3 linked regions of the Macaca mulatta genome follow. The main gene of each other region encodes a partner of the protein of the gene in region 3 in a complex. Links are inferred from orthologs where the notes say so. Each region holds a gene or a part of one and is shown on either strand. Other genes may lie near its edges.

What was found.
Region 1: CACNB3 (region 3) and CACNA1S share a complex: the UniProt entries of both Homo sapiens proteins name them as parts of the calcium channel complex. The link is inferred for Macaca mulatta from reciprocal best matches to the Homo sapiens genes CACNB3 and CACNA1S.
Region 2: CACNB3 (region 3) and CACNG1 share a complex: the UniProt entries of both Homo sapiens proteins name them as parts of the calcium channel complex. The link is inferred for Macaca mulatta from reciprocal best matches to the Homo sapiens genes CACNB3 and CACNG1.

The regions. Positions count from the first base shown.
Region 1 is NC_133406.1:58,762,000-58,772,555, forward strand, and holds the start of CACNA1S (voltage-dependent L-type calcium channel subunit alpha-1S), read right to left. Parts: upstream 5,855-10,556; 5' UTR 5,359-5,854; coding exon 5,207-5,358; intron 3,335-5,206; coding exon 3,229-3,334; intron 1-3,228. Other genes in the region: ASCL5 (achaete-scute homolog 5), read right to left, coding at 7,769-8,389. UniProt on the Homo sapiens protein: Pore-forming, alpha-1S subunit of the voltage-gated calcium channel that gives rise to L-type calcium currents in skeletal muscle.
Region 2 is NC_133421.1:76,792,050-76,802,558, reverse strand, and holds the start of CACNG1 (voltage-dependent calcium channel gamma-1 subunit), read right to left. Parts: upstream 5,706-10,509; 5' UTR 5,513-5,705; coding exon 5,284-5,512; intron 1-5,283. UniProt on the Homo sapiens protein: Regulatory subunit of the voltage-gated calcium channel that gives rise to L-type calcium currents in skeletal muscle. Regulates channel inactivation kinetics.
Region 3 is NC_133416.1:55,974,889-55,985,399, forward strand, and holds the start of CACNB3 (voltage-dependent L-type calcium channel subunit beta-3), read left to right. Parts: upstream 1-4,257; 5' UTR 4,258-4,454; coding exon 4,455-4,499; exon of another isoform or gene 4,500-5,415; coding exon of another isoform or gene 5,416-5,469; intron 5,470-8,867; coding exon 8,868-8,990; intron 8,991-9,204; coding exon 9,205-9,327; intron 9,328-9,788; coding exon 9,789-9,904; intron 9,905-10,208; coding exon 10,209-10,273; coding exon of another isoform or gene 10,274-10,302; intron 10,303-10,489; coding exon 10,490-10,509; intron 10,510-10,511. UniProt on the Homo sapiens protein: Regulatory subunit of the voltage-gated calcium channel that gives rise to L-type calcium currents. Increases CACNA1B peak calcium current and shifts the voltage dependencies of channel activation and inactivation.

The sequences.
Region 1 (10,556 bases), on a different chromosome or scaffold from region 3:
CTGCCAGCCCAGGGTAGAGACAACCAGAGCCATGTCCTTCCCTGAGACACGGCCCTTTCCATTCTCCCACTTGGGCCTCTGCCAAGTGGCCCAGGACTCCAGAGGGCAAAACATAAAGCTGAGAGCCCCTCCTTAGAGGCAGGGAGATGGCAGAAGTCAGGACCTCGTGTAAGCCAAGGCTCCAAGCTTGAGGTGCATGTGCCATTGTCCCAATGTACTTCACTTACAAATCATAAATTCAAAGATAAAATTAATTAAAATTTCAATACGTTGACCACAGAGCATTCAACCCCAAATGTGGGGCCCTTCTGAGTGGGGGTCCTCTGGGACTGCATAGGTTGTACACGTGGGAGCTGTCCCTGTCCTCAGCCTTTAGGTCTCAGGTTAAACATCCCATCCTTTGGGAGGACTTCCTGATCTCAAGACTAGCTTAGGTTCTCTGCCAATATGCTACCAAAATGTTCCCAAACCTTGAACCTTTCCCATTTCATTTTAACTACTTGTTTAATTTGTTTTATCATATTTACTTGTTTAATCCAGGTAATGAAGCTCTGTGAAGATGGGAACTGTGCCTATTTGGTTCACAGTGATATCCCCAGTATGTGCCAGGGATATGATAGGCACTAAAGAAACATTCGTTAAATGAATGAGAAAGTTCATGAACAGTTAATCCTTAGGCCTCCTTTCTTGAAAGCTATGGGTTATTCTAAATGACTGGAAAGACCCCAACCCTTCTCAGATACCTACAAAGCAGCCAATAGGGTAAGAGAGAGAGTACCTGCTGCCCCTTTCTACTCTGACTCCTCTCATCTCCCTCTTGTTGGGTTTTGTGGACATGAACAGTGAGGAGCCCTGAGCTCGAAGCTGGCTAAGCGACTTTGGGTATCACCGACTTTCTCTGGGCTTCACAATTAAGTGGTCGGATTAGGAGTCCTCCCTGAATATTCATTTCCCATACAGCTCTGACATGCCAAGTGGCATTTTCCGCTTTGGAAACATTTTTTATTAGGTTTCCGACTTCCAGGGAACTCATAATCCTGTCTCTATGAACTCTAGGCCTAACCCAAGGTTTTGCAACTCCAGCCCACAAACTAAAGAAAAACACACACAGGACTACATGAAACAGTTAAGGCAGCCATTTTGTTTCAAGATGGAAGATGATATAACCTCTAAGATGTAATTTTTTTTTTTTTTTTTTTTTTTGAGACAGGGTCTCACTCTGTCGCTCGGGCTAGAGTGCAGTGGCATGATCCTGGCTCACTGCAGCCTCGACCTCCCGGGCTCAAGCAATCTTCCCACTTCAGCCTCCCAAGTAGATGGGACTATAGGTATGCACCACCAGGCCCGGCTAATTTAACTTTTGTAGAGACGGGAGTCTCTCTATGTTGCCCAAGCTGGTCTCGAACTCCTGGATGCAAGCGATCTTCACGTCTCAGCCTCCCAAAGTGCTGGGATTACAGGTGTGAGTCACTGCATCCAGCAGAGGTGTAATTTAATATCCTCCAAGGTGGGGCAGAGTTTTTTGCAAAAGTAGTCAATGTCGTAAGGAACTGAGGCCCAAAAATATGAAATCGTGAAGGGTGGGGTAGACCCAGAGCTCTCCCTGCATTCAGAAACATGGAGACTAAGCCTATGGTGTAGAATGCCCAGACTTTACGAAATGCCTTCCTTGCCAGCAAAGGTAGCATTGCCCTGCCAACATTTAATCCCACTCTCCTTCCACACTCGGGAGCTCAGAGTGTTTTCTCCTCATAGCAAGCACACATTTAGAATCCCAGCTTCCCATCGGCTCAAGATAGATTCCCATGGAAACCAGCATAAGGGAAAGGCAGAGATGTGTCAGGCCCTGGACACATGCTAATATACCTCCTCCCTCCCAGGCCCTGCAGTTTCAGTGCAGGAAAAAAAAAATTCCCGTTGAAAAAGGTGGTTCCATTGTCCTGTCCCCTAGGGAGCCTGAGGCCACTGTTTCTAAGAGGGCTTCCCCTAGAAGTCTTTCTGCTGTCACCCACCACCTTGGCAACACAGCCTGTACAAGAGCAGATTCTGGCCAGGCGTGGTGACTCACGCCTATAATCACAGCACTTTGGGAGGCCGCGGCGGGCGGATCACCTGAGGTCAGGAGTTCGAGGCCAGCCTGGCCAACAAGGCAAAACCCAATCTCTACTAAAAATACAAAAATCATCTGGGCATGGTGGCAGGCGCCTGTAATCCCAGCTACTTGGGAGGCTGAGGCAGGAGAATCACTTGAACCCGGGAGGTGGAGGTTGCAGTGAGCCAAGATTGCACAGCCTGGGCAACAGAGTGAGACTCTGTCTCAAAAAAAAAAAAAAAATTGCAGGTTCTAAAGTCAGAGAGACCAAGCTGGAGGCCCTACCACAAGACTTAGATGTGGGGTGACCCTGGGCAATGTACCTAAACTCTCTGAATATCAGTCTCCTTGTCTTTTAAATGGGTCTAATAATGTTACTTACCCCACAGGAGTAGTTAGGGGGATTAAATAATACAATAATGTAAAATATTTAGCTCAAATCCTGGCATTTAATAAGTACTTACTAAATGCTAACCATTTTTATTATAAATTAACTATTGGGTAAGTAAGTCCTTGAAGCTATCTAGGCCTCAATTTCCTCATCCATAAAACAGAATCAGGTGGGGAGGAGGTAGGACAGCCTAATTTTTGAATATCCCTTCCAGCCCCGGCATTTTATGGTTCCAGGTATGTGTTACCGATGAAGGGGTGAAGAGAAAGTGGTATTGTAGAACTCTAAAACATGTTCTTGCTTCAGATTCCTGGATAAAACTCTCCCATGAAGGCAAACTTAGTGGACACAAGTTTCTTATGAATTACATCTAGGGAAGGGAAATTAGCATTCAACCTCTGTGGTTCACTAGCTGACCTTACGAAGCCTCAGTTTCCACATCTATCAAATGGAACCACTTTATGAGGTGGTTGTGAAGATTAAATGAGTTTACTCTCATCCGGTATTAGCACAGTGCCCGGGACCAATGACTGTGTGCTCAGTGCTGGCTGACAATGTCACAGAATCTAGAATAAGCACGTTGACCCTGGAAACCTGTTGAGCCACTCAGCCAGCCCTGCAGGTGGGTGGGGATGCAGGGAGTTAAACCACCAGCACCATCCCCCAGAACAGAGTCCACCAAGGGGGCCTCCCCAAGCCTGGGGCTGCAGGCCGTCAGGAAGGGGGATGGAAGAGCCAATCTTACCAGGCCGAGGTTCAGAGAGTTGTTGTCATCTTCTGGCATGGGCAGGTACACGGCCAAGGCCACACAGTTGGCAAAGATGGTAAGCAAGATGATCGTCTCGAAGGGCCTGGAGCCAGGGTTAAGGAGAGCCCTTGGGCCACAGGGGCATGGGACTTACAGGGTTAAGGGGAAGAGGGCGCTGAGGGTCAGTTTGGACTGTGACTCTGATGCCAGGCAGGTGGACAAGCTGTTGGACACTCACCCACGATGCTCCTTCCCTGAGCACCTGCAGGATACAGTGAGGACCAGGTTCCTGCCTTGACAACTGGCTCCCTTTCCTCAGGAACAAGTCGCTTTCACATAGACTCCTTGGAATGGTAAAGGTCTGGTCCCTGGCTAAGGGCTACTCAGCTTTAAGGCCTAGGGAGTCTTCACACTGCTCCACTCTCAGTGCCTGTCTACGCCCTTGCCTCCTCCCAGGGAGCCATGACTTTCCCAGATTCTGGCCAATCCACAGAGGCTCACCCAGAGAAATGGCACGGGAGGGTAAGGGTTGATGCGGGGTAAGGTTGAGAACTCACCGAGCAGGACTGGGAATGAGGGATGGAGAGATGAACGATGAATTTCCAGAGCCATGTGTGCATGCTGGTGTGCTCGTGCTCACACCCATCACACCTCGCCCCTCCCAGACACACCCACCCACAGCCATTTCTAGAGGGTACCCCAGGTCCATGGCTTTCTTGACTTTCTGACCCATTAGGCAGCAAGTGTGGAAAGAGCTAGAGAAAGCAAGGGAGGAAGCGAGGCAGTTGTTTGGGGGCGGATGGGGAGGCATATTATGTAGATGGGCTTGGCAGAAAAATCCCATTCTCTTCCCAGTAACCTCCAGTGTTTGAGAAAAGAGGAGGGCCACAGGGGCAGGGGGCTACGAGAGGGGAAGGTGCAGAGGAGCAGAGGATGGAGGAGAGGGAGAACCCATGGAGTAAACCTGTTTGCAGAAGAGAGGCAAGGAGGGAGGGCCTAGGAGGGTTCGATGTGGGTGATTCACCGACTGGCCAAGGGCAGGTGAAGGGAACAAGGCTGACACTGACCCCAAGATATCTCTACTTGCCCCACGTTTGTCTTGTCCTTCTAGTTATCCCTCATTCTCCTTCCTTCTAGGGAACAGTTGGTAGGAGCCCAGCCTTCCAGAACCCTTCAGAAATATTTCAAATATGCCCGACCCTCGCTCTCAGAACCCACTTGACACAGCCCTCCCCTTGTCTCTGTCACTCCTTCCTCCCTTCCCCAGATAACCCGGATATTTTCAGCATTCTTCCCCCCAGAGCAAATGCAAACACAGCATGAGATTCGAAGTCTCTGTCCCCAGGGTGGCACGTCTGAGCTAGAACACCCAGGCTTGCTTGGCCTGTGTCTTGGAGCCACTCAGACCAGGTGTCTTTCAGACCCATTTTTTCCCTTGGCTCTGTCCTCAGCTGGGATCTGCCCCCAGAGGGGTCACCCCCCACCCAACCCAAACAAGGGGGAGTTTTCTCAAAGAGGCCATTGAACCTTTTATTGGTTCCTATCCTATTCTGAAATGAGGCTGGTGCTTCAAAAACCTAGTGGCACCCCATGATAATGTGGATTTGGGCACACCTGGGAACAGTCCCCATGAAGCAGGCCCCACCCATAGGTGGTCAGTAGGCATCTCTGGTTGTCACCCAGGACTTGGGTGGCCTGCTCAGGCCCAGGAAGCCCCACCAAGTCCTCCTCCTCTTCCTCCTCCTCTTCCTGTTCCTCCTCCCCCCTCCTCCTTCTCTCCCTCCTCTTCCTCCTCCTCCTCTCCTGCGCAGCTGAGGGCTCCTTCCCCCAGCCTCACTCAATTCTGTGAGTTCACCCCAGGTCTAAGTCCCAGGCCTCCCTGGCCCTCCTGTAGGAAGTGTGTGCTCTGTGATCACCCCTGAATCCCTCCCCCATGATGCATGCTCCCCCCCACGGCCTGGGCCCTGAAGGATACTTCCATTCTACGATGCTGATGCAGGCCTTCCTCAGGGGGTTCTCCAGGGTCAGGCAGAACAAGGCCCGGGGTGGCCTTGGCAGAATCTCAGGAACCGGCTTCTTGGGCTGTTTCTTCCTCAGGCCTTCATCCTGGGGTGAGGACGGCTCCATGGCTTCCCTGGGAATCTGGCTCCCCCTCCCCAGTGCCCTCTCTTCCCTGCGTCCCCAATGCCCCCCGCCTTGAGGACTGGGCTGGCTGAGGCTGTCGGCTGAGCCTGCCCTGCTGAGCCAGCCGGGGGGCGGGGGCAGCAGTGGGGGCAGGAGGATTACTCTCCCCACTCCCAGCAAGTAAAATTAGCCTCCACTCGGCTCCCCACTGCCGGGCCTGAGCTCCTGAGGCCAGACAGCTGTCATTCCATCCAGTCCAGCCAGTGGCTTCCCAATCTGTCCCCTGAGGAGGGTGGGGGATGGGGAGAAGAACTTACACACAGGCCTGGGATGGGGCAGGGGCAGTGGGAGAGGGAGACAGGATGGAAGGTTTCAAGCCTGCGGCAACAGAGATCAGGAAGCGGTAGCCTTGGATATGGAACCTCAAACGGCAGAGTGGCCCCCTCATGCCAAAATTAGGTTTCCCCTCCTCAGCCCCATGACATTGTCTGGAGAAGGCACTGGGCAGCCTAAGTCAGGACAGCTCCACAGCACCCTCTACCTAGCTCAGTATTTGCACCATCAGCCAAGACTCCCCAAACATACCCTCAACCCACCCCCCAAGCAATCCCATGTCAGGGAAACAGTAAACCCCTCTCCAGTGGGCTGGAAGACTCCCAGAACATCCCTGAGTGTACACACCTCTGGCATAGCACCTGCCTCACTGTGGAGCATCTGCTGTGTATCTTTCTTCCTCACCTCCTCCCACCCCTACAGGTGTAAAGGTTGTGGGCTTTATCTCTGGGACTCTGGCCCCTTCTCTGCACAGTCCCCACATATACTATGCTCCCTGTAAATGATCACTGAGGCCAGGCGTGGTGGCTCATGCCTGTAATCCCAACACTTTGGGAGGCTGAGGTGGGCAAATGGCTAGAGCTCAGGAGTTCAAGACCAGCCGGGGCAAGTGGTGAAACTCTGTCTCTACAAAAAATACAAAAATTAGCAGGGTGTGGTGGTGTGTGTTTGTAGTCCCAGCTAGTAAGGAGGCCAAGGTGAGAGGATCAGTTGAGTCTGGGAGGTTGAGGCTGCAATGAGCCAAGATCGGGCCACTGTACTCCAGCCTGGGTGACAGAATGAGACAGAGTGAGACTTTGTCTCAAAAAGAAAAGTTCATTGAGGTCAGCCGCGGTGGCGCATGCCTGTAATCCCAGCACTTTGGGAAGCCAAGGTGGGCAGATTACTTGAGGTCAGGAATTCCAGACCAGCATGGCCAACATGGTGAAACCTGAACTCTACTAAAAATACCAAAAATTAGTGGGCGTGGTGGTGTGCACCTGTAATCCCAGCTACTCTGGAGGCCAAGGCAGGAGAATTGCTCAAACCCAGGAGGCAGAGGTTGCAGTGAGCAGGCATAGAATCACTGCACTCCAGCCTGGGCAACAGAGCAAAACCTGTCTCAAAAATTAAAATTAAAATTAAAATTAAAATTAAAATTAAAAAAAAAATTCATTGAATGCCTGAGCTAACACTGAACCTTAAATGCGCTAACAGCGAATCCCACATACCCTTCCAGCAAGTACTCTGGACTAGGAGTGGGAATGAGAAAGGGGCACCAGGAAGGGTGAGGGTAGACAATGATCTAGGAATGAGAAAAATTCAAAAATCCTTTTATTTAGCTCTTTGGTGCCAACACAGTGCCTATGTACCCATATGCACACCCCCCTCCCCCAAGGCTTACAGTCTGAGGGAAAAAAACCACAGTCCCCACCCAACCTGGGACAAAACTAGATGACCTCGTTGGGGGGTGTGAAGGGAGTGATCGCCCCCCACCAAGGAAGCTAGAGAACGCCACCAGGGCACACAGGTCGCCTCTGCTGAGTCTGTGGGTTCGGTCCGGGCTGAGCGCCGGCAGCGGCCTGGCCTCCCATCCCTTCCTCTGGGTTCCTTTCTCAAAGGGCAAGCGTGCTCCCAAAGAAGTCGCTAGTATTTGAAGCCATCTGGTGGAGAGCAGGGGCATGATAACCGAGGGATCAAAGCCGGGCTTGCCTCCCGGGAACTCGCAGAGACTGGGCTGCGCCTGCGGCGAGGAAGGAAGAAGCAGGCCGAGCGGGAGCCAGACCCAGGGATAATCGTCCTGGAGTGCCCCTCTGCACCCCGGAGGGGACGCAGGACGCCCGGAGCAGTCCCAGGCCCTGCCCCTCGCTGCACCCACGGAGCTCCTCAGGTCTCTATCGCGCGCCTCGCACCCGTTGCCCTGCACTTCCTCCCCAAGTTGACGGAGGAGGAAGGATGTCGCAGACACGGGAGCACCGCGGACCTCCTGCAGTCACCAGCCTGCGGCGCATCGCGGGTGACCCAGCAGCCTCCCGCTGCTCCCGAAAGTGGGACGGGGCCGACGGATCATTCCCCAAGCCAGGGGCTGCCACAAGCCCGATCAATGGCAGGATTCCTCCGATTCCAAGAAAGGCGAGGGGGAGAAGCAGGAGGACTCGGATGACTCCGGTACCAGGGAGGAGGGCGCCCGGGCCTCGCCGTCGCCAGGGCGGTCGGGCCGGGGGGCGGCGGGCGGCGCCGGGCAGGGCCTGGTGCCCGGGAGGCCGCGGGCGGCGGGGGGCGTCGCGCCGTCTGGGGCCGAGCTCAGCAGCTCCTGCAGGTACTTGATGTAGCGGATGGCGGCGCGCAGCGTCTCCACCTTGCTAAGTCGTTTCTCTGCCAGGGCGCCGGGGAGGTGGCCGCGGAGGCGCGCGTAGCCCTCGTTGACGCACTTAACGCGCTGCCGCTCGCGCTCGTTGCGCTTCTGGATGAAGGCTGGCTCGAAGGGGTATTCGTAGACCCCGAAGGCACCGGGGAAGGGCACATAGGGGAACACCCCCGCGTAGGCGTCGTAGTAGGGCTGCTCGGCTGGGCCCGGGTACAGCAGGAAGGGCACGTTGCCTAGGGGCTCGGCGGGAGGCAGGGGCGCCTGCCGGGGAGGGGGCATGACGCCCAGCTGCATGCAGCTGGGGGGCCCCAGGGGCCTCCGGTCCACCAGAGCCCGGCAGAAGTTATTGTTCATGGTGCCACGTGGAGCTGGACCCAGAGTGAGGCCCCCACCGAATGGCCCCTGCTTGGGGTCTACACGGTCTCGACCACTGGGGCAAATCACATCGCTAGCAGCAGCTCCGGGGTACCAGGATTTGCTAGGGCCTCTTTTCGCCCTTTAGGGTGGCTTCCAAGGACTCCCTAACACCAGCCATCGTCCTAGACAAGTGTGGCCCCTCTCAGGGGGTCGGTGCACACCTTCTCAGATCCAGCCCATGGCGCCGCGGAACTCTGAGGGCCCACACCTCGCTCCGCAGCACCCATGGGCACGGCCACAGACCCGCACGCCTTGCCTCTTCCTGCCGCCCAACATGGGCACCTCAGGCCTAAACCCCAGGCTCCATGCCCTCCACCCCCACCCCAGCGCCTGATCCTTGGTCCTCACGGCCTTCGAGATCCCTGATCCCTGGGCAGTCCGGGGTGCCCAAACTGATGGCTGCTGTTAGGAGTGCGCCAGCTCAGTGGAGGGAGTCCCGGGAAACATTTCTAAACAAGAGGAGAGGAGAGTGAACATATCAGTTAGGAAAGGCCTGTATTATGGGCTTATTTGTATCATCTCCACCCGCAAACGGGATTGTAAGCCTCATGAGGAGAGGTGGTTGGCTACTGAAGGGGCACAGATCTGGGTTAAAATCTTGTGCGCATCCCTTCTTACTAGTCGGGTGACCGCTTTGAGTCATGGTTTCCCTAGGAAGGGCAAGGGAAACATCCCTGACAAGAAATTAATAAGCGAATCAACTGTGAAAGTATGTATGCAAAAACACCTCCTAAAGGGCATAGCTTATAGAAATGCCCAATTTTGTCATGTCCCTTGAGAGTGGGGATTAAGTCTCATCACTGATCCCTTCCAGGGCCTTACATCTAGAAGAAGGTCTGAGACTGCCTATTGAATTAGCAGCAGCAGCCATCAGCCAACGAGGGAAGCCAACTCTTTATGGAAAGGAATGCCTCTTTGATAACCAGGTAGGTGTTGTTGGTCCGTTCAAAGCCCTCTGCCTGGCAGAGACAGTCATCAAAGCCTTCCCTGCCCCAGTCCCTATGGTCCGAGATACACCCTCTCACCCCACCCTGGGTTTCTCCGTGGCACCTAATGGGGGCATCTATTCTTTCACCTGTATGTCCTGAGCCTAGCCCAGCCCCTGTCAAGTAATAGATGCTCCACAAATACATGTGGAATAACTGAGAGAGAGGATTAGGCAGAAAGCTGGGTTTGTTAGGGTGGGACTGATTACACGTAGCCTTTCATAGGATTTAGGAAGCTGTTATTTCAGAAATAATTGGTGTGTGTTGAGTTTAGGTGCCACCAAGCTTCATTGAATGTGGTTATCAGATCCAGGTTAGGTGCCATTTTGTCTAGGAAGCCTCTCTGATCGCACGCCCACCTCTTGTGTGTGTCTACAGGGTACCATAAGGTCTATATTAGCACTTATCACGACTCTATTATTTTTTCCCTCTTCGTAAAAGATGCTCAGGACTTAGCAAGTGAGTGAGTGATGGGCAGCGTGACACCTTGGCCACTGGGCACGGCCTCTCCAAGAGACAGAAAGGGGCTAGCTCTCTCCCTGACAGGAGGAGTTCGTGGTAAACTCAGATTCCTGAGAATGTCTCCTTCTGCACCCTCTCACCTCTGTCCTTATTGCAGGCCCTGAGTCTGTTTCCAGCTCGCTTTGTCCTCCACACTAAATGAGGACCAAGAAAAATCAACAATGATTCTAAGCATCACGGAGACTTAGATGTGTTCTCAAAAGTGAAACCAGGCCAGGCGTGGTGGCTCACACCTGCAATCCCAGCACTTTGGGAGGCTGAGGTGGGAGGATCACTTGAGGACAGGAGTTCGAGACCAGCCTGGCCAACATGATGAAACCCTGTCTCTACTAAAAATAAAAAAAACTAGCCGGGTGGGATGGTGGGCGCCTGTAATCCCTACTACTTGGGAGGCTGAGGCAGAAGAATCGCCTGAACCTGGGAGGTGGAGGTAGCAGTGAGCCAAGACCATGCCACTGCATTCCAGCCTGGACGACAGAGCGAGGTTCTCCTTAAAAAAAAAAAAAAAAAAAAAAAAAAAAAGAGTGAAACCAAATGTCTGAGAATTCAGGACAAATTCACATATCCCTCCCCTTCTCAATGGCCTTCAAAGGCTC
Region 2 (10,509 bases), on a different chromosome or scaffold from region 3:
GGCCTCTGGCATGGACTCCTGAGTGGTGAGGGGAGCCCATGAAATTCCTGGGGTCAGTAGTATCATGCTCTTTCATCCAGTCCCAATTCCTGCACTGAGAGAAGATGGACCAGTAGGGAAAATGGGGCACTAGGCAAAGTGGGCCCTGGGGCAGCCTGCCTCCTTGCCCTAAAGAGGCAGAGCCTGAAAGAAGCAACACTTCACCCAGCCCAAGGGCAGGGGATGGCCTCTCTGTGGGTTCATTTGGACTTTCAGAACACATAGTCTCTCCTATGAGAGAGGCCCCTGCTCTCATTCTGGAGGCATTGGAATTGGTCTTAGATGTTGTACATGGAAGTCCTTCTAAGACTCTTTGGGGGACAGTAGAAAAATTAGACAACTCTTGCCCACTGAGCCTCCAACATTCTAAAACTAAATGGGACCGTGAGAGGTCTCCTCCACTGCACCAGCTTCTGGTCTGGCTACCCTCAAACTATGCCATGTCAAAAGCTGGACTCCTTGTGTTCACTTGGGTCAGAACTTTTAGGAGCTGTGTTTACATGCACAATAGAGGGTGTGGGAAGGAACTGGAGAGAAAGGAGGCTCTGGATTCAAGACTTGGGTGGAGAACCTCTATTTGTTAGCTAGTTAGCCTGGGGAAGGCTATGCTCAGCCTCCATGTTCCTACCTGTAGAATGAGAACCACCTGTAGAATAAGAACCACCTGTAGAATAGGATCCACCTGTAGAATAAGAATCCACTCACTGGGTTGTTGTAAAGTAGTTGATTTATTGACTAAGAAGGTGAATGTTAGGGGTAATCATCTGAGTATGAGTCCTGGCTGCTCTGCTCATCACCTGTGTTACCTTGTCAACTATCTCAACCTCTCAGTGGTTCATTTTCTTTATCCGTAAGATTGGAATGATGATAATAGCATGGCCTTCATGGAGGTTTTTGTGAGGATTAGGTGAGCTAATATATGTATGTCATCCCACCACCTTCTGGACTCCATCGATTTGGGGAAAAATTGGCCGTTCATCTTATTAAGGATTCCTCGTATGTGATGAATTGCTTCTTTCTGTTTTTAAGATCCTCTGTCTTGATTATCGTATGTCTAGGTGTGGATCCCTTCGAGTTTATTCTACCTGGAGTTCATTGAGCTTTACAAATTTGTAGATTTTTAATGTTTTTCATCCAATTTGGGAAGCTTTTGGACATTATTTTTCATATACCTTTTTTGTTCCTTTCTCCCTTTCCCTCTCCTTCTGGGACTTCCTTTACATACACTTGATGGTGTCCCATAAGTCTCTGAGGCTCTTGTCATTTTTCTTTCTTTTTTTTTTCTATCTGTTCCTCAGACTAACTAATTTCAAATGACTTATCTTAAAGGTCACTGATTCTTTTACCTGCTCAGATATGCTATTGAGCCCCTCTAGTGAATTTCTCATTTTAGTTATCGTACTTTTCAACTCTAGAATTTCCATTTTGTCCTTAAAAATAATTTCTGTCTCTTTCTTGATAGTTTCTATTTCATGAGACATCATTTTCATCTTTAATGCTTTTGATTTTTAAAAAAAGTTCTTCGGATATACTTACTATAGCCAATTTAAAGTTTTTGTCTAGTAAGTCCAATATCTGGCTTCCTTAGGGATCTATCGAGCTCTCCCTGCCCCATATATGCCCCATATCATTTTAGTTCTTTGCATGTCTTGTGTTTATGTATGTATTTATTTATTTAGAGACAGTCTCGCCGTCCCAGGCTGGAGTGCAGTGCTGTGATCATAGTTCACTGTAGTCTCTAACTCCTGGGATCAAACAATTCCCTCACCTAAGCCTCAGGAGTAGCTAGAATTATAGGCACATGCCACCACTCTTGGCTATTTTGTGGGGTTGGTTTGTTTGTAGGGACAGGGTCTCGCTATATTGCCCAGTTTGATCTCAAACCTCTGGCCTCAAGCAATCCTCTTACTTGGCCTCCAAAAGTGCTGGGAACACAGGAGTGAGCCACCACACCCAGCCGGTATTTTTTTAAACAATATAATGTGGCAACTCTGGAAATCAGTTGTTCCCCCTTCTTGAGGATTTGTTCCTATTGTTTAGTGACTTTTTGAACTCAGATGGTAAAGTCTGTTTTTTGTCATGTGTGACCACTGAAATCCCTGTTCAATTAGCTTAGTGACCAATTAGAAATTTCCTAAAATGCTTGGCAACAATGACTCCCCCAGTCTTTACTGAGGGGCTCTGTGCATATGACTCACACTCAGGTAAGCCACCCACACCTCTGCCTTAGCTTTCACTTTCTGCTTGAACAGAGACTTAAGATAAGGCAGAGGGTGCTTAGGGCCTTCTTAGGTCTTTCTTGAGTGTGCACATAGCCTTGTGCATGCGTGTGACCTCCTAGATTCCCAGGAATTTGTTGGAGCTTTTCAAAGCAACCTATGGACATCTCAGTCTCCAGTTTTTTGGTTAGCCTGTTGTTTTCCCAACTGTTATCTACTGCCTCAGACAGCCATGATGTTAAGTAATCATCTCTAATTATTTTCCACAAATGTCCCCAGGGAGAAAGATTCTTTGTACTGGGTGAGCTCAGAGTCAGGTCAAACAGAAACAGCTTCTCAAGTGGGGCTTTTCAGGGAATCACCAGACAGGTCAAATCATGACAATGCTCTGGGAATGGGCCTTTGATCCAACCCCATTCTCTCCCCTCCAGAGGCTACTGGGATGCTGATTTTCGCTGTGGTTATGAATGTTGGTTTGCGAGGTTACCACAGAGCTGGGAAAGGGAATCAGGAATAAGTCAAGTTAAAACACCACAGAACTCACTGGTCCTCCTGAGATTCACCCATTTTTCTTGCTGGACTTTGGTTAATTTCCAGAGTTCTGAAAATGTTGATTCTGACCATTTCCACCAGCCTTCTCATTGCTTTTATGGAGAAGAAGATTTTTGGAAGTTCTTTTTCTCTATCATCTTTTTCGTGATGTCATTCAAAGTTGAAACATGTAAAGCATTTACAACAATATTCGGCACATAGGGTTACGTGTATGTGCCATTATTATTGTTGTTGTTGTTAATAATAAATGAGAGGCCACATATGAACCCGCTTCCTCCCTCCAGACAAGAATGGTCCCAGGGGGCACAAGAAGGGCATATGGGGAAGGAGAAAGATGTCCATTTGCAGAGAAAAGAGAGGGAAAAAGGCAGGAACATATTTTGGAAGATGACTGGGAGAAAGGTAGTGCTCAGTGTCACAAGTGTGGGAAGTATGGTTCATAGCTGGTTAGGCTAAGAAGGCAAAGAGGTAGATCCTGGTCAGGCTCAAGGCCTGTTGGTCCAACAAGCAATGCCTGTTGGTCCCCTGTAATTGGTCTAGTCACCTCTCACCAGCCTGTCTCTTCCTTGTGTGGACTCTGCTCACTGCCCAGTCCTCTGCTCTGACTTTAAAAGGCAGATGGTTCCAAGGACGGGTGAACAGGACTGTAACAGCACGTCCCTATGCGCGGTCCCTGAAGAAGCTGCCCTGCCCTGCCCTGCCCAGGGGAGTTGGCTGGAGGGATTGCCTGTTTATGGGTGTGCTTGGCAGTCGCCAAGGGGCATGGGCATCCGGGCTATGCGATACCCTGCCAGCACATGGCCACACCTGTCACCCTCAGCCCTGGGACTCGGTGTTTCTATAACAGTTGGGCACTTACGAGTCTTCTGGGCGTCCAGTGGGCGTGAATGAGGGAGGGGATCTCTGGAGCAAGCAGCAGGGAAAGAAGAGGGAGCAGAGATATGGGAGGTTGGGGTGTTGGCTCTTTGGTTCACATGCAGACTGCAAGATCTTTGGGGACTCAGCCCTAGTGTCCTTGAAGGACAGGTTTCAAGGAACACCAAAGTCTGGTAAAAGAGGGAATAATCCTGAAAACCAGGTGGGACATCACACTGACATAACCCTGCTCCACTGCCACTGTGGATGGGCGTCTGTAAACCTGGGAAGGGATCTTACATTGCTGAGAGTCAGTCCCATATTTTATAGAGGAAGAAGCAGAGGCTGAGATGATCTTTGTCCTCGCTGGATGGTCATTTGAGGGTAATGGGCAATGGTGACTAGATCCCTGGCCGCCTGGTCTCCACGTAGCACCCTTTCCTCTAAAGTGCTGTATTTGCTAAGAATCCAGAAGCCTCGGCATTTGCAGAATAGAGGCTAGTCATGCAACTACCAGGTACTCCTGAAAAGGAGCTTACCTTCGACATGTGGTTCGGTCACATGGTAGGAAATCGAGGAATACGCTTAAATTACAGGGTGAGGAAATGCTTTGTAACTCTGACAGGGTCTGAGCTAACGGAGGATGCATAATGGACTGACGTCCTGACAAAAGGGCGGGCGGAGGCCAGGCACGGTGGCTCACGCCTGTAATCCTAGCACTTCGGGAGGCCAAGGCAGGTGGATCACCTGAGGTCAGGGGTTCAAGACCAGCCTGGTCAACATGCCAAAACCCCGTCTGTACTGAAAGTATAAAACTTAGATGGGTGTGGCGGCGCATGCCTGTAATCCCAGCTACTGGGGAAGCCAAGGCAGGAGAATCACTTGAGTCCAGGAGGCGGAGGTTGCAGTGAGCCAAGATTGTACCACTGCATTCCAGCCTGGGCGACAGGGCAAAACTCTGTCTCAAAAAAAAAAAAAAAAAAAAAAAAAAAAGGTAGGGGCAGGTGGCTCACCCACAGCCACGTCCTGCTTCACAGGCATTCAACCTGTGCAGCTTCTCCAGGCCCAGGGCCCACAAGGGTCCATGCTTGGATTCATGTGCTGCTATCGCTGCCTTGAAATCCTTGGTAATTTGGAGCAAGGAACCCTGCATTTTCATTTTGCACAGGACCCTGCATATTCCGTCGCCTGTCCTCTCTCCTCCCCTGCCTTGAGGCCAGGGACAAACCTGCCAGCTCCATGGTTTCCCCCAGCCTGAGGACACAGAGCCACCCAGCATGTCTTTGCAGGGAGAGAGTGACCAGATGGAGCCCAGAAGTCCCTGGGCTGGTAGAGCTGCGGTTCCCGTCTTGAGCCTGCCCAGCTCTCTGTTCTGGGCGAAAAGCCCCAGGGTCCAGCCAGACAGAAATAGCTGGGACAAACGCCCTCGTCTTACAACCCAGCCCCAGCCACCAGCACAGCACATGCAATTCAGATCTTCTTCCCTGGGCAGAAAGGGCTGGGCGGCTGCCCTATCTCTAGCCTGAGAAACCTGCCTTCCTTGGCATGGGCAAATTTGTCCGGGGGACGACGGGGAAGGGCGGGAGGTGGGGATCGGGACGGAGGGTGGGTACGTTACCCCCGGGCAGGGTGATGGGCCCGCAGGTCTTGCTGTCGTCCATGGGGATGCGCTTGGTACAAATCCGCCAGAGGCCGAAGTGGGCCGCCTCGCAGGTGGTGTTGTGGTGCTCCATGTGGGGGCTCAGCACAGCCCAGTGGTCGGTTACCACGGCCGTCATGGCCAGCACGATGCCTGCCAGGATGCAGAAGAGGGTCACGCGGACCTTCAGCGTTTTGGTCTGGGACATGGTGGTCGCCGAGGCGTGGGTGCCCTGGGCAGGGTCCGGCGGCTGCGTCTCCTCCGGCAGGTGACAGCCGAGCTGGGGGGTGGCGGTGGTTGTCGAGTTGGGAGTGGCCACTAAGTTTAGTGTGCCTGGCTGAGCCAGAGTGGGCTGGCCCTGGGGCTGAGGGACGCGGGATGTGCTGAGCAGCTGCCCAGACGCGTCAGGGGCCTGAGGAAGGCTGCTATTAATGCCCCTCTCCAGGCGTGGCACCGGGGACGGCTTCTGCTCGGGTTTCAGCGCTGTCTGCCCCTCTGGGAGCCAGAAATACCCCAGTGGGGGGCGGGGCAAGGAGAGAAGGCTCTGGATGGTGGATTGAGGCCTCTATGGAGTAGCAGCTCAGGGTGCCTGAGTTGGGAGGGGGCGAGGGGTGGGCAGCAGGGCCCCAGGGGTGGAGATCTGTCTGCTCTGGGCTGATGGGAAAGGGCACCCCAGGCCAGGGGAGGAGACCAGGAGCTGCAGGCTGCACGGCCGTCCCGGGCTCCCACATTGTAAGCCTACTACCGGCGGGGCAGTGAGTAGGTTCTCATCCTGGGATCTGGGGGGCCTAGGATTCTGTCTAGGGACATCCCAGGGACCCTGTCCGGGGCCTGTGGAGTCCACCTCTCAGGCAAGCGTTTTAGCCACAAACCCCACAGCATCCCGCAAACCACAGGAAGATTTTAGGTGGTTCCCAGGCCTGGCCTTACCCAACTCTGATCCCTCCACGAGAACATTACTTCCTTTTCAATTCTCTTTCCATCCCCAAAACTGGGTCCAGAGCAGAGCTCCGTTCGAGGTCAGTGTCATTACTGCCCGCAAAGTGTCCTCTGAAACAAAGCGAGAACGGCCTGAAGAGGACGAGGAATCCTGCTGGACTTGGTTGTTCTGTTTTCAGGGCACTGTGTTTGGTTTTGCCTTCTACTAACAGCAGGTGATAACGATTTTCCAGTTACGTTTTAATTTGCAAAATATGTGTGTGAGTGAAAAAGAACGAATAGGTTGATTTATAGGGGATCATCAGGAGCTCATGGGTGTGCGGATATGGCAGAGAACACAGAAAGCCTGGGATCGACCACCCTCCGAGGGTCCTGTGCGCCTGCCTGGCCCCCAGGCCTGTCCCCGAGGCTGCGGCCTCTACGTCTCTCCTGGGTTGTGCCATCTCTCCCTTCTCAGCTCACTGGGTGGCCCTTTTTGGGTGTAGCCGAGAGGCTGATGCATGATCAGGAATAGCCTCCTGAGCTGGGTGGGGCCTTGAACTTCAAAATTCTTGCCTCAGATTGACACGATTTACAGAGACTCTGCCCATGTGGACAGAAACATTTCGGCCTCCAGCCTTGGAATCACAGAAAGTTCATGATGATGATAATAGGAGCAGTGGCTCATCTTCAGTGAGTGCTTACTATCTAACAGGCACTCTGCTGAGCCTTCATCCATCATCGCAGTTACTCTTCACACCAAATCCACAAGGGGACTGTGGCTGTTTTTGCCATTTCACAGTAACACAACTGTTACTGCCATTTCACAGACAAGGACATGGACACTCAGAGACGTGAAGTCACTTGTCTAAGGTCACACAGCGGGAAAATGAGGAAGCCAGGTTTCAGGACCCAGAGCCCGAAGTCTTAACCAATGGTTAGAACTGGGAAGAAGCTTGAAGATCTATTGTGACAGATTAGGAATCTGCAGCCCAGAGAGGAGACATGACGAACCAGGACCACCTGGTGAACAGCCCCGAGGCTGAGCTGAACCCTCGTGTCTCCAGCCACAGGCTCGTGCTTATTGCAGTTCCATCCAAACGTTCATATTTTTAAAGTCAGTCTCTCATCCATATTACAATCTCCCGAGAGCTTCTCTCCCCACTGTTCTAATCTCTGCTTCCCTTCCTCCCTGTCCCCCCACCTCTGTGTTCCCAGTGGGTGCTAATCCATCACAACTGACTGATCACTGACTGATTGTTGACATATGCCGCCGCCCCTGCTTCAGCTCGCGGAGAAACTGCCTGTCACCAGGTGGGTGGACCGTCTCCATGGGGAACTCCCGGAACCTGGGACATGGCCGCAGCCTCTGAGCCCTCTCTTGTTGCTTGTGGGGGCCCAGCTTCAGGATCCTGGCACCTGGGGATCTCAGGGGGTGCTGGACAGCTTGAGCAGACCTACTGAGTGCCAGGCACAAAGCAAAGCAGTAGCTGGGGAGCCAGAATAGGGTTCCAGTGTTTTAAGACAGAATATCTAGAAAGAAGCTGTTTAATTTTAGCACTACAAGTAAATACAGTGTCGCTGGAAGAATAAAAGTGTCTTTTGAATTTCCTGGTGTGGTGGGTGTGGGTGCCCTAAGCTCTTCGGTGCCAAGAGCCTCTGACGGCCTTGGAAAGCACCCTGAAAGGGCCCAGTGCACAGGGTGCACCCAGCACCAGCCATGATGATATTGCAGGCCCTTCAAAGATGCCAGGTCTCGGCGGGGACAGCAACCAGGAACTTCTGCTGCTCTTTCCCTCGGTGGGGGGCAGGTTTGTGCCCCATGCAGGGGTCCAGAGTCCTCCGCCCCAGTGCAGTGAAAGCATTAAAGATTGATGGCCTCTGCCTTTTGAAGTCATCTTTGTGTAAGTCGCACCACGAGGCCGACAGATCCACTTTCTCTCCCCTGTTTACTAAAAGCTCCCTCAAATACACCTTTTCTGCTCACAGAGGCACTGCCGCGCTGCCTGCCTGGTTCCCCAAGAGCCTGGCAGGGCCAGGAAAGGACTTCAGTATCCACAGGCATTTGCTGAGAGTTGGGCAGGGCAACATCCATGTCCTCCCCCCAGATCTCACCCTTTCCAGGGCAGCAGGGAGGAGAGCATCTCAGGGAGGCAGCATGCGAGAGGGGGACCAAGCTAGAGGGTGATGGAGCTGGCCAGCCCTGAGCAAATCCCTGCACTGCTTGGCTCCAGCTGTGCAGCTTCCAGCAAGTCATTAGCCTTTCTAAGCTGCCCTTTGTAAAATGAAAGCAATGGGCCTGGCTGTGGAGAGGGTAGAAGGACAGGAGGGAGTGCATTGGACCAGCTTAGCCATGGTAGGCACTATGGGCTGCATCATGTTTTCCCCAAGTTCATAGGTTGAAGCCTAACCCCCAATGTGATGGTGTGTGGAGATGGGGTCTTTGGGAGATAATGAAATGAGCTCATGGAGGTGGGGGCCTTGTGATGGGAGTAGTGTCTGTATTAGTCTGTTCTCACACTGCCGAGACTGGTAATTTACAAAGGAAAGAGGTTGAATGGACTCACAGTTCCACATGGCTGGGGAGGCCTCACAATCACGGTGGAAGATGAAGAAGGAGCAAAGGCACATCTTACATGGCGCCAGGCAAGAGAGCACGTGCAGGAAACTGCCCTTTATAAAACCATCAGATCTTGTGAGATTTATTCACTATCATGAGAACAGCAGAGAAAAAGACACCCTCATGATTCAGTTACCTCCCACTGCGTCCTTCCCGTGACATGGAATTATTACAATTCAAGATGAGATTTGGGTGGGGACACAGAGCCCAACCGTAGCAGTGTTCTCATAAGAGGAGACCGGAGAGAGGCCGTCATGCATTTAATAGAGCATTGAGTACTTGATTCAGCACAGGATGTAATGGTAAGAAATCAATCGCCCTGGATGCCTGGCACTCACAGTGTTGTGGGAAATCTGGGGGGCTCCTTTCCTGTTCTGTTCTCCAGATGTTGATGCTTACTTGCACCCCTGAGATATTTTTATCCTATCCACACCAGCCCAATTCCCTTTGGTTTTACAACCCCACTCTGCCAGCTTCCAATTCTGGCAGCTTTTTCCGACTGCCCTGATCACAGTGGCCTTTTCCCTCCCTGTTGATTCAGGACCCTCCTGAGGCCTCCAGAACATACAGGCCAGCCAGGGCTTGGGCCATAGTTAAGTTGGGGCACAATAAGGCCCACGCTGGGACTTCTGCCCTGCCAAGCAGGAGAAGACCCACTCCCTGCCCTTGAGGAGTCCACAAATTGTTAGGGCAGCTGAGACTGTACTGGGAGGGGCTGTGGGGGTCTCCTGGGACAGAACTCAGCCTGCTTGGAGAGGTGTGGAGAGGAGGAGCTCCAGGCAAGACATGGGCCCCTCAGGAGGCTTGAGCCCGCAGCCAGGGTTCTCAAAGTGCACCCTGTACATACGTGCAAGAGGAGAGAAGGCAGCCTGTGATTTAAATACTTTTTTTTTTTTTTAAGACGGAGTCTTGCTCTGTTGCCCAGGCTGGAGTGCAGTGGCGCAGTCTCAGCTCACTGCAAGCTCCGCCTCCCGGGTTCACACCATTCTCCTGTCTCAGCCTCCTGAGTAGCTGGGACTACAGGCGCCTGCCACCATGCCAGGCTAATTTTTTTTATATTTTTTAGTAGAGATGGGATTTCACTGTGTTAGTCAGACGTTCTCGATCTCCTGACCTCGTGATCCGCCTGCCTCAGCCTCCCAAAGTGCTGGGATTACAGGCGTGAGCCATCGCGTCTGTAAAAGTCATTTAAAGACTTTTATGTTTCTTTTTTTGAGATGGAGTCTCCCTCTCTCACCCAGGCTGGAGTGCAATGGTGTGATCACAGCTCACTGCAATCTCCGCCTCCTGGGTTCAAGCAATTCTCTTGTCTCAGCTTCTCAAGTAGCTGGGATTATAGGCATGTACTACCACGCCCAGCTAATTTTTATATTTTTGGTAGAGACAGGGTTGCACTATATGGGCCAGGCTAGTCTCGAACTCCTGACCTCAAGTGATCTACCCGCCTCGGCCTCCCAAAATGCTGCAATTACAGGTGTGAGCCACCACGCCTGGCCTAACGATTTTCATATTTCTTTTCGTGAGGATCTGGATTATATCATTAATATGATTTCTTTAGGTCAAGATCAAATTAAAAGTGGTAATTTAAAGAAAGAGATGAAGCAAGTAATTGTACAGGTGGCGCCTAGGATGTGGCAAGCATCATGCCAGTGTCCCGGGGTGGCTGC
Region 3 (10,511 bases):
TCCAGGCGGTGCCGCCACCTGGAGGGCGCGTGCAGCCGCCGGGCCAGCGAGCCCAGGGCGCTGCAGCCGGTCGAGAGGGAGCCGCGTCGCTTCGCCTTGACCTTCCCCTTCGAGGAGCTGAAACCCGCGGCACCAGAACCCGGGAGTGAGACAGAGAGGAGAGACAGCAGAGACTCCGCGGGCGCGGGGCGATCCCAGCTGGGCTGTCTCCACAGGGATGCCGATCCCGCTGGAGACACAGGGCCGAGCCAGAGAGGGGTAGATGGGCGCCTAGACGCTTGGGCAGGCGAGCCGAGCACCAGCACTCTTGCTTTTCGGTCCTTTTCCCCGCCGAGGTCTGGGTCGCAGTCGCCGCCGGGGGATGCGCGCCCAGCGCGCAGAGCAGGGCCGGGAGGGAGCAGAAGCTTCCGCCAAGAGCTCAGGTGCTGGGGCAGCCCTGGAGCTGTTCCTGCCCTTCTGCTTGCGGCGGCGGAAGCTCCAGAGTCCCTACCCTTTCTCGGGAGGACTTTAGGGAAGAAGCAGAGGGGCAGGGGAAGCTGAGGAGCGAGGGTGCGACATGGGGATGGAAGGACAGTGGGAGGCACACGGAAAAACAGAACGGGGACCTTAGGAGAGACGGAAGTGGCGAGAGAGGCTGGGCTGAAAGTCGGGGAGAGCCAGAGACTGACAGAGGCGGTGAGAAAGGAAGGGAGAGGGAGGGAGGGAGGAGGGAGGAGAAAGAGGGAGGGAACCAGGAGAGAGGGAAGGGAGCAGGCGGCGGAGCCGGGCGGGCGTGGGGCGAGGCCAGGCGTGCAGGCGGGAGCAGCGTGCAGAGCAGCGGCCGGGTTCTGCTCCCGCCTCGGAGCCCCTGGCCCGGGGGAGGAGGAGAGGCCGCTAGCCTGGTCTATGTCTTTTTCTGACTCCAGTGCAACCTTCCTGCTGAACGAGGTAACCGTGGTTGGGGGAGGGGGTCGGGGGAGGGGGGGTTCCCCACTGGATGGGAGGAGAGCTCCGCTCCAAGCTAGGAAGGGGGCACGCGTTTGGGTGAGACTGCACCGATAGGGAGGGAGGGAAACCCGACGAAGTGAAACCAGGGGTGGAAGAGGCACCGGGTTAGAGAGGAGGGAGCGGCCAGAGCTGGCAGCTTCCTAGTACTGGGATTGGATGGGAGGAGAGGACTGACCGGGAAGCCAGAAAAAAGGGGCTAGATTACAAGAAGGGCTCTGCCAAGCTCCCCTAGTGCCTGTCCCCAAGTTCCCTGGCAGCCTAGCAGCCAGAATGGTAGGGGCCTTTATCTGGTCCAGATCTTAAAAACTGCTGGAGAGGCCGGGCGCGGTGGCTCAAGCCTGTAATTCCAGCACTTTGGGAGGCCGAGGCGGGTGGATCACGAGGTCAGGAGATCGAGACTATCCTGGCTAACGTGGTGAAACCCCGTCTCTACTAAAAATACAAAAAACTAGCCGGGCGTGGTGGCGGGCGCCTGTAGTCTCAGCTACTTGGGAGGCTGAGGCGGGAGAATGGCGTGAACCCGGGAGGCGGAGCTTGCAGTGAGCCGAGATCACGACACTGCACTCCAGCCTGGGAGACACAGCGAGACTCCGTCTCAAAAAAAAAAAAAAAACAAAAAAACTGCTGGAGAGGAGTCTTTAAGTCTTCCCAGAAGGCCTAGCTTCTGCCTCAGTTTCCCCATTCAGTGCCCAGGGACAGGGATCTGCCCAGCTTCCTGGTGCACTTACAGGAGAAGCTAGAATATATTCTGAAACCTCCCAAGAACTCCAGCTCCCAAACCTGATTATTCAGGGTTTTCCTCTTATGTCTTGCTTCCATGACTTGGGTACCTGCCAGCTGCCAGTCTAACAACTCTCTCCTAGAAAGAATCAGCAGGAGGAGCCTCTCCCCTGATCCTTTATTGCCCTCAGCTCTCTCCCTTTATGCCCAGCCATGAAAAAGAAAAGAGGTTAGGGCTACATGGATACTGACAGGCACATGTCGTGTCACAGGACAAGAAGTCACCAAGTTGGCATTACAACTGGAGTAGGCAGGTGTGGGTGAGATGAGAAAGGAAAGGGGCATTGGGTAGCAACCCAGAGATATGAGGAGAAGGAGGGAAGTTCTGAAGCTCCTGCAGGACCCAGGGGAAGGGCCAGGTATGAGGAACTTGAACCCATCTCCTGGGGATGGTTGGCATGGCAACACATGCCTCAGGAGCAGACTTAGACAACCTTGTTGCAGATTACAAGGAGTGTGAGGAAGGAGTGCTGCCCATGGCAGATCCGCTGTTACCTACAGCCCCAGGACCTTCTGTGGGTGGGAGAGTCCCAAAAGGAGAGGCCAAGAGAGTGGATGCAGGGATGGGAAGAGAAGCAGCTGCCTCCACCACTGCTTTCTTCATTAGAACCATCTCCCAGGAGAAAAGCACCTTGAGGGTCTTACTCTCCGACACCTCTCTCGGCCCCTGAAAGACAGAAGGAATTGAAAAGGATGAAAGAGGGGGATACAAGGAATACTGAGTAACTGGGTGAGGGCACAAAAGTGGGCAGTGTCGGAACTTCCAATACGAATCCAGTATATGACCAAACCCCAAATGGTGCTGGACTCAGGAGAGGCAACTGTGAAAGCTGACTGCCTCCCCCAATAGCGACGTCCCTTCAGCCACAGGGGCTGTAACAAAGTTGTTTGTCAAACCCAGCATGAGGAAGGTGCTGGGCAGGGCTGCTCTGGGCCACCCACAGTAGACAGACTAAAGATGTCAGTCTGAAGATGAAGCCTCTTCTTTTTCTTGCTAAGATAACACCGATAAGTGACCCAGGTGGGAAGCCACTTGGTTTGGGTGGGCTTTCTCTCTCCCATGCACAGTGCCTTCTACCACAGATCTTATTAAGCTATGTCAGAGTTTTGGATGTCTGATTCTCCTCAAGCCTAGGAGGGATGAGCAGATTGCTGAACTCCCGGGTGTGAGAAATTGGGAAAGGAAAAGGACTGAGCTCAGGGCCAAGGGCATGGGCACCAGGAGGCCTCCAAGTGTACCCCTGTCTATGGACGTCCTCCTTGTGGGGCACAAAGGTAGGCAGTCAAAAATCAAAGAAGGAATTTTGCTCAGGAGATGAAAAAAGGAGAGAGCTCAAATGGGTGGATCTTTGGGGAAAGTTTCCTCAATATAAGGGCTGCGGCTCTCTTACCTCAAATCTCAGTGTTCCTGTGAAGGAGACTGAGTGGTGCAGAGTGGTACAAGCCCTTCTGCTGAGGGGAGAATCTGGCCTTACCCTAGTGACTCTGAGGAGACTGGCCCTTTCCTCTCCTAACCCCAGTGTAGCCAGGATCCCACCCACAACTATCCCCTACCACCACCCTCTGGTTTCTCTCCCCTCCCTTTAGGCTCACCTAAAACAGCCCCTTTCTGACCCAGTTCCCACGGATGCCTTGGCACTGTCTGGCACGATCCTTGGCAGGGAAGTGGGGAACGGAACCCCCATCCTGGCCGGACTAAGACGAAATCTATCTGTGCAACAGGTGTGGGGAGGCCTATCCAGCTCACGGAAAGTTCCCCCCTTCTCAAGGGCTAGGCAACACCGCCTTTGCCGCAGCGTTCCCGTACTGAGGGGGCCGGGCACCTGTTGGGGCAGGAGTTGCCGTCCTGGCATTAGCCTGGGGGCACTAAGCCCATTCCTCCCCGGGACTACTGCGGGGTCTGCTTCGGAGCTTCCGGGACGCACGGGCCCAGACCCGCACTGCTGTCGCCTGGGACCCCTCCCCAGTCTGCCGCTTGTTCCCGCGCCTCTTCTGTCTCCCAGGGTCTCCCCATTTTCCTGTCCTCTCCGTCCTCCCTCTGCCTCTCTCTCTCCGGCTTCCTCGACACCTGCGCCCTCTCCAGTCTCCGCCTGGGTCGCGTCTTCCTCGCGGTCTCAGCGCCCCCTCCCTCCCCCGCCGCAGCCCTTTGTTTCCCGGCGGAGTAGTTCCTGGGTTGCCGAGCGTCTCTGTCTCCGCATCTCTCCTCGCCCCGCCTCCTCCCTGCCTGGATCCGCCCCGCCCGCAGCCTCTCCTCCCCTTCCTCCCAGCCGCCAAGGCCCCGTAGGTGCTCGGGGACCCACCTTCCACCCAGCACGGGTCCGTTCCCGTCTCCGGGCCTGGCCCGGGCTCCCCGGTGGCCGCCGCCCCCTCGCCGCCCCCGCCTTCTCCCAGGGAGGGGGTCAGGTGGGCGGGCACTATTGTTGTAGGAGCGGGCGCCAGATTCCTCAGCCGCGCTCGGGGTGGGACCGGCTGGGTTTGGGGGGGTGGGGTGGGGGGAGCGGTGATTTGAGCTCCGAGCAGCTGGTCTTCGCGGCTCGCTCCCTCCTTCGCGCTCTCTCGCTCCCCGCCGCCGCCCGCAGGGCTGCGGGGCTCCGTGGCATCTCCCGGGCGCGGCCCGCAGTCCTCGCCCCTGCCTCCGGGCCGCTCCCGCCCCCGGCGCCGCTCGCTTCCCCCACCCGGACTCCCCCATGTATGACGACTCCTACGTGCCCGGGTTTGAGGACTCGGAGGCGGTGAGTGCCCACGGTGAGGGTGGGGGCGGGGAAGTTGGGGTGACACCTCCTCTCCCTTCAACCCTTCCCCCAGTTCAGGACTTTGAAAAACGCCTCAGTGGCAGGGCAGTGTGTGTAGGGGGGCGCTCTAAAAACGTGGGGAGATGGATTTTCATGCCAAGCGCTCCCCAGCGACCCAGACTCAGACCCTGGGGCATCGGGTGTGTGCAGAGAGGGGGCAGTATAGGGGAAGGGCTCAAGCAGGTGGCTCCACGGCCCAGGAAAGAGGGGTGGGAGGAGGCAGGGTTGGAGGCCGAGGGCACAGAGGCTCTGGAGAGGGAACACGCCATGTCTGGAGTTCCAAATTCTGGATTTCTGGGGTCTGAACACAACAGCTAGGAGAGCCGCCGAGGTAGTTGGGGAGGCAGACATTCCGGACCTCTTGTGCCTCAAGCAAACAACACATTAGGGAGCTGAGAGGACACCAGGGAGCCAGGGACCAGCCTCTTTAGACAGAGGGATCCTAAAACTTGAGGAGCTCCATTATTCCCTTCTACCCCCTCCATCTCTGCGCACTGCCTCATCTCCTCACCCTTTCTCTAGCCCAGTTTCTCTCTCAGGCTGAAACCTGGGCACCCAGCACATGGGTAGGCCAGGTGACTGAGCCCCATCCATTCCACAGCCCCCTGCTGAGGCTTCCTCTGAGCAGCGGGCATCCTGAGCTCTTGCCCAGCATGGAGGGCCTGGAGGTGAGGCCAGAGGAGCTGAGGGCCTGGGGATGGAGAGGATGCGCTTTGCTCAGAGAAACAGGCAACCAATAAATATTTAATTCTCCTCTTTGCTTTTATCTCCTGACCCACTGAGACAAATCAGCTCATTAAGCAGTGATTCCCGGAGCTCAGACAGCAGGGAGAGTGCCTGGAAAGATGGGGCAAGAATGCGGAGCAGCTTCTCAGACCCTTGGAGCTGCCAACTTTCCCTCAAATGTCCTGTAAGAAGGCCTCCTTAGGAGTGGACCAATAGATGGCTTGGAAGGGGTCCCAATAGGATGGAGCACCCCTGGGTCGGAAAGAGGAGTATGTTCCAGTCTTCTCCCATCACTTGCTGCCAGGCCCAGGATAGATGAGTGCTGATGCTCAGAATAGGCAACTGTCCTTTTCTGGGACTGGGCTCCTTCTGGGCCCAATTTTCCATGAGGCCTCTGGGGTAATTACTTTGCTGCTAGAGCAGATCATTTTCAAGGCTCTGGTGGACACCTCTTTCTGACAGTTGAAGGGACAGCTGGTATAGCCCAGGGTGCCAAGGTGAGCTTGAGAACAAACCTCTCTGTGGGGCTGGAGGGCCCTAGGAGGTTCTTCCCATCCCTGGTGAGAAGGCAAGGGCTATTGCAAGGAACAGACTGACATGTGGATGGTGTTGGAGGACAGCCTGCTGACCCATTGCTCCCTCCCATCGCTCTCTGGCTCCTGATCACCCTCCCCCACTTCCCTTTCTCTTGCCTGGCTCCTTGCTCTCCCTGAGGCCCCCTCTGAAGCAGTAGGAGGGAGATCAGGCTCTAAATAAATCCAACGGCTCATCTCCCTCCTCTCCTTCCCCCGTGCCAGGCAAGAGAGGAGCTGCAGCCTGCCCACACACTCACTAGGCAAGGGGGGCACCACCGGGGCACTGTGCCAACTCCTGGCAGCTCCAAAGTACTGACACTCTGGCTCTTTTGGCGTAGCGGGGTACAGGAAAGGTAAGACCCTAGATCATGCCTGGCAGGGCAGCCCTGGCCTCCCGAAGTAATACCGGAGCACGAGAGATAAGTTAGCTTGGAGGACTTGGAAGTAATGGAGAGGGGCTTCCATTCTGAGCACAACTCATTAATTATTTAGGGAGAGATCCTGTGATTCCCATCCCAGGGTGAGAGGTCAGGTAACCCCAGATGCCCCAGGCGTTATTACTACTAAATTAGGCCGCAAGGTGGCTCAGGCCTGTAATCCCAGCGCTTTGGGTGGCCAAGCCGGGCGGATCACTTGAGGTCAGGAGTTGGAAACCAGCCTGGCCAATATGATGAAAGCCCGTGTCTCCTAAAAATACAGAAATTAGGCTAGCATGGTGGCGCATGCCTGTAGTCCCAACCACTCAGGAGGCTGGGGCAGGAGAAATGCTTGAACCCTGGAGGCAGAGGTTGCAGTGAGCCAACATCACGCCATTACACTCCAGCCTGGGCATCACAGTAAGACTCCGTCTCAAAAAAAAAATCACTAAATTAAACCAGGCACAGAGACTCATGCCTATAATCTCAGTGCTTTGCGAGGCTAAGGTAGGAAGATGGCTTAAGCCCAGGAGTTTGAGACCAGCCTAGACAAAATAGCAAGATCCTGTCTCTACAAAAAACTAGTAGGCATGGTAGTGCATGCCTGTAGTCCTAGCTACTCAGGAGTCAGGAGGATCGCTTGAGCCCAGGAGTTCAAGGCTGCAGTGAGCCACGATTGTGCCACTGCACTCCAGCCTGGGCGACAGAGCAAGACCTGTCTCTAAGTAAATAAATAAAATAATAAAAATAAAGATTACTAAATTGGGCTGAGAGTCTGGAGCGCAGGCAGAAAAGGTCAGACTCCTCTTTTAGCATGGTGCTGAGCTTCTGGGAGGTACCCGATGTATCTGTACCAAAGTGAGTGGTCATCTGCCTTGCCTTCTGCCTCCCAGCCTATTGGCCCCTGTCTGGTCGCTTCAGATACTAACATCCCACAGAGGTTTCTCTTGTGTCTTAAGACCCCTAGGAAGGAGGTCCCTCACCCTGTGCCAAGATTATTTCTGGGGTTCAACCCCCACTTTTCCTGCTGCCATCCAGCCTCATTTTGTTCTCAGGAGAGATGAGCAACAGCGGGCAGACTCTACTCTTCTGTAAAACGAAAGAACCTTCCCCCTTGTGCTATCTTCAGGCCTTTGGTGTACTATAGACACTGTCTTTAGCCTAAGACTCGAGAGCCTGGGCTGACCCCCAGCTGAACAGCCCTCTTGCTCAAGGCAGGGTGGGGGTAGAGGGCACAGTGGACAGCAGGTGTGTGATTTTGCCTTCTCCTCTGAGAGTCTGGCCTCTGCTGCCTTCTGTAGGTGGTCGTGCCCAGTGAGCTTGAGAGAATATTCCTCCACCCAAGGACATTCTAAAGCCCCTTCCCCTATACACACACACACTCCTGCATGAACCCCTTATTTAGGCTTATCCCTTCTCTCTGCCACTGGCATCTCAGAATCGTGGGAAGTATCACTTGAGGCTTCTCCCCACAGAGAGGGAATACTGAGGCAGGAAACGAAAGACTCTTTCCGTAGGCAGAGGAGGAAACCCAGACATCCTAACCTCTGGGCTCTTGTCTCGAAGTCCAGCATCCCTTACTCATTTGTGCCTCTCCCTCATGGCCTTGAAGCTGAGCTCTGTGACCCTCAAATGCACCCTCATTGCCTATGACCTTTTCTATGGGCAGGACTCAGAGACTCTCCTTGCTCATGTTACCCACTCCCCACATCCCCAGGGTCCTGCTCCATAGCTGAGTTGCCTGGCACTAGCATAGCCTTCTTCTAGGGCCAGTGTCCCCTGGGCCTGGGAAAGGACTGGGGAGATGTAGGCCAAGTGGTAGGCATGGCCCAGCCTCACCTGCGTCCAGGGAGACAGCTTTGTGTTCTTCTCGGTCTGTGTCTTGTTTGCTGCCTATATCTGGCCAGTTGCCCCAGCAGGTGTGGGAGGAAGAAAAGTAGGGGGTGGGGAGAGCAAAGGGGAGGTAACTTCTAGGAGTTGGCAGCTTTGTGTCCTCCTCTTCACCCTGGAAGGGGAAGGGCTCACCATTTGAGAGCCTTCAGAGCCTTGTTGGAGTAGGGAAAGTAGGATCTTAGGGGGCAGATGGCTGGATCCCCACACTCAGGACTGGTGCTGTGCCAACCAGCGTCTCTTGACTGTTACTGCTGGCTGGACTCCTGCCAGGCATCTTAAAGGGATGATGTCCAGGCTGCTTTGCAGGCTGCTGTGAACAAGAGGGCTGGGTCTCCTGGATCCAGAATCATCTCTAATACATCATCTTCAGCACTCCTCCCTTCCCTCAGCTCAGAGGACATGTTAGAGGGGAGAAAAGGGAGGAAAGAGAGAAGTGAAGGCTCTATTCAAAGCTGTAGTATTAATAGGTTTGGGGGAGGAGGGGCCCAGATCTTTGCACCTATAGATGGGGCCAGGTTTCCTGTAGCCTCAGAGGCACCGGGGCCCTTCTCAGGGGATAGGAGGGGCCATAGGGACCCAGCCACCCCCTTGGAGATGGAGAAACGGGGCAATAGAGGCAACACTGTAAGGTGAGGAGGGTGCCTCCATAGCGTCCTTCACGCCGGAGCCTGGGAGTCACAGCCTGTTTCCCAACCCAGGGTTCAGCTGACTCCTACACCAGCCGCCCATCTCTGGACTCAGACGTCTCCTTGGAGGAGGACCGGGAAAGTGCCCGGCGTGAAGTAGAGAGCCAGGCTCAGCAGCAGCTCGAAAGGGCCAAGGTATACTTTCTGGGCATGGGGCAAGACAGGAGGCCAAACTAGGTGGAAACCTGCACTTGGTCCTAAGTCCCAAGGTTTCCTTGGGCAGGATGTCCTTGAGTGTGAGAGGGTGCATGTGAGGGGCAGAGGCCACGGCCTTCTGCTGTTGGGGCACTGAAGCTGGAAGGGGTGCTCCGAGGCTTCTCTCACTTGCACTAATGGCCAAATTCTCCAGCACAAACCTGTGGCATTTGCGGTGAGGACCAATGTCAGCTACTGTGGCGTACTGGATGAGGAGTGCCCCGTCCAGGGCTCTGGAGTCAACTTTGAGGCCAAAGATTTTCTGCACATTAAAGAGGTGACCGACCCCCGTGCTCTAACACTTCTAAGCCTCTGACACTTCATTTTCTTGCTCTTGCCCCAGATCCCAATGTTTCTTACTTCAGTCCTCAGTCTAATTCCCCAAGCTAATCAGCTCTTCTCCTTAACACCCACCTGTCCACCCCTCATATCTAAGACCTCATCCCCAGGGTCTCCATCCTTCTGAGACCTGGCTTGGGCCTCAGTCTCCATGTCCATCAAGTGAGCAGTTAGATTAGCTGCCTCCGAGGTCCCCTATGACAGCTGCAGTGCCTCACTCAGAAATCCTGGGTGGCCCGAACTTGGCTGCCCTTTCCCCTGGCCCCTTCTGCCCACCGCCCCTTGCATTGCATTCCTTAGACCAGCTCAGTGACTGCCTCGCTGGCTTCTTCACATTGAAGAACCAGGACTTGGGCAGGGCGCTCCTCTCACCACCCTTCCTGCTCCACCCACCCCCAGAAGTACAGCAATGACTGGTGGATCGGGCGGCTAGTGAAAGAGGGCGGGGACATCGCTTTCATCCCCAGCCCCCAGCGCCTGGAGAGCATCCGGCTCAAACAGGAGCAGAAGGCCAGGTGAGAGTTGGGCTGTGACTCAGTAAACACACCCCAAACACTTGAACTGTACCCACAGGACACATCGTCATGCATGCCACACACATGCATATCCCCCTGAAATACACATGCACATATGCCCGGCTCTACACACTCACACTAAACAAATCTACAAACACACACACGAATGCACACATATTGTGTGTACACCTGTCTCACTAGATAAAGCATATGGAAATGTGTACAATTATTAAATAATGCATAGAACATATGTACACAAAGACACATTCTTCTCTACCTCTCTCTCGCCTCCCTTTCTTCTCAGGAGATCCGGGAACCCTTCCAGCCTGAGTGACATTGGCAACCGACGCTCCCCTCCACCATCTCTAGGTAGCCTCCCCTCAACCCACCCATTTTGGGTAGGTGGGTAGCTAAGACACAGGGAAAGGGGGGATTCTGCCCAAGTGAACTGTGTGGGAAGGGGTTTTGTGGAGGGATCAGAAGGGGTGGGGAGAAGCCAGTATCTCCCTGGGGATGGGGATACCGTGCCCCCAGGGACCTTTCCCCCTTCACCAACTTTAATCTTGTATTTCCTTTTCCGAAAAGCCAAGCAGAAGCAAAAGCAGGT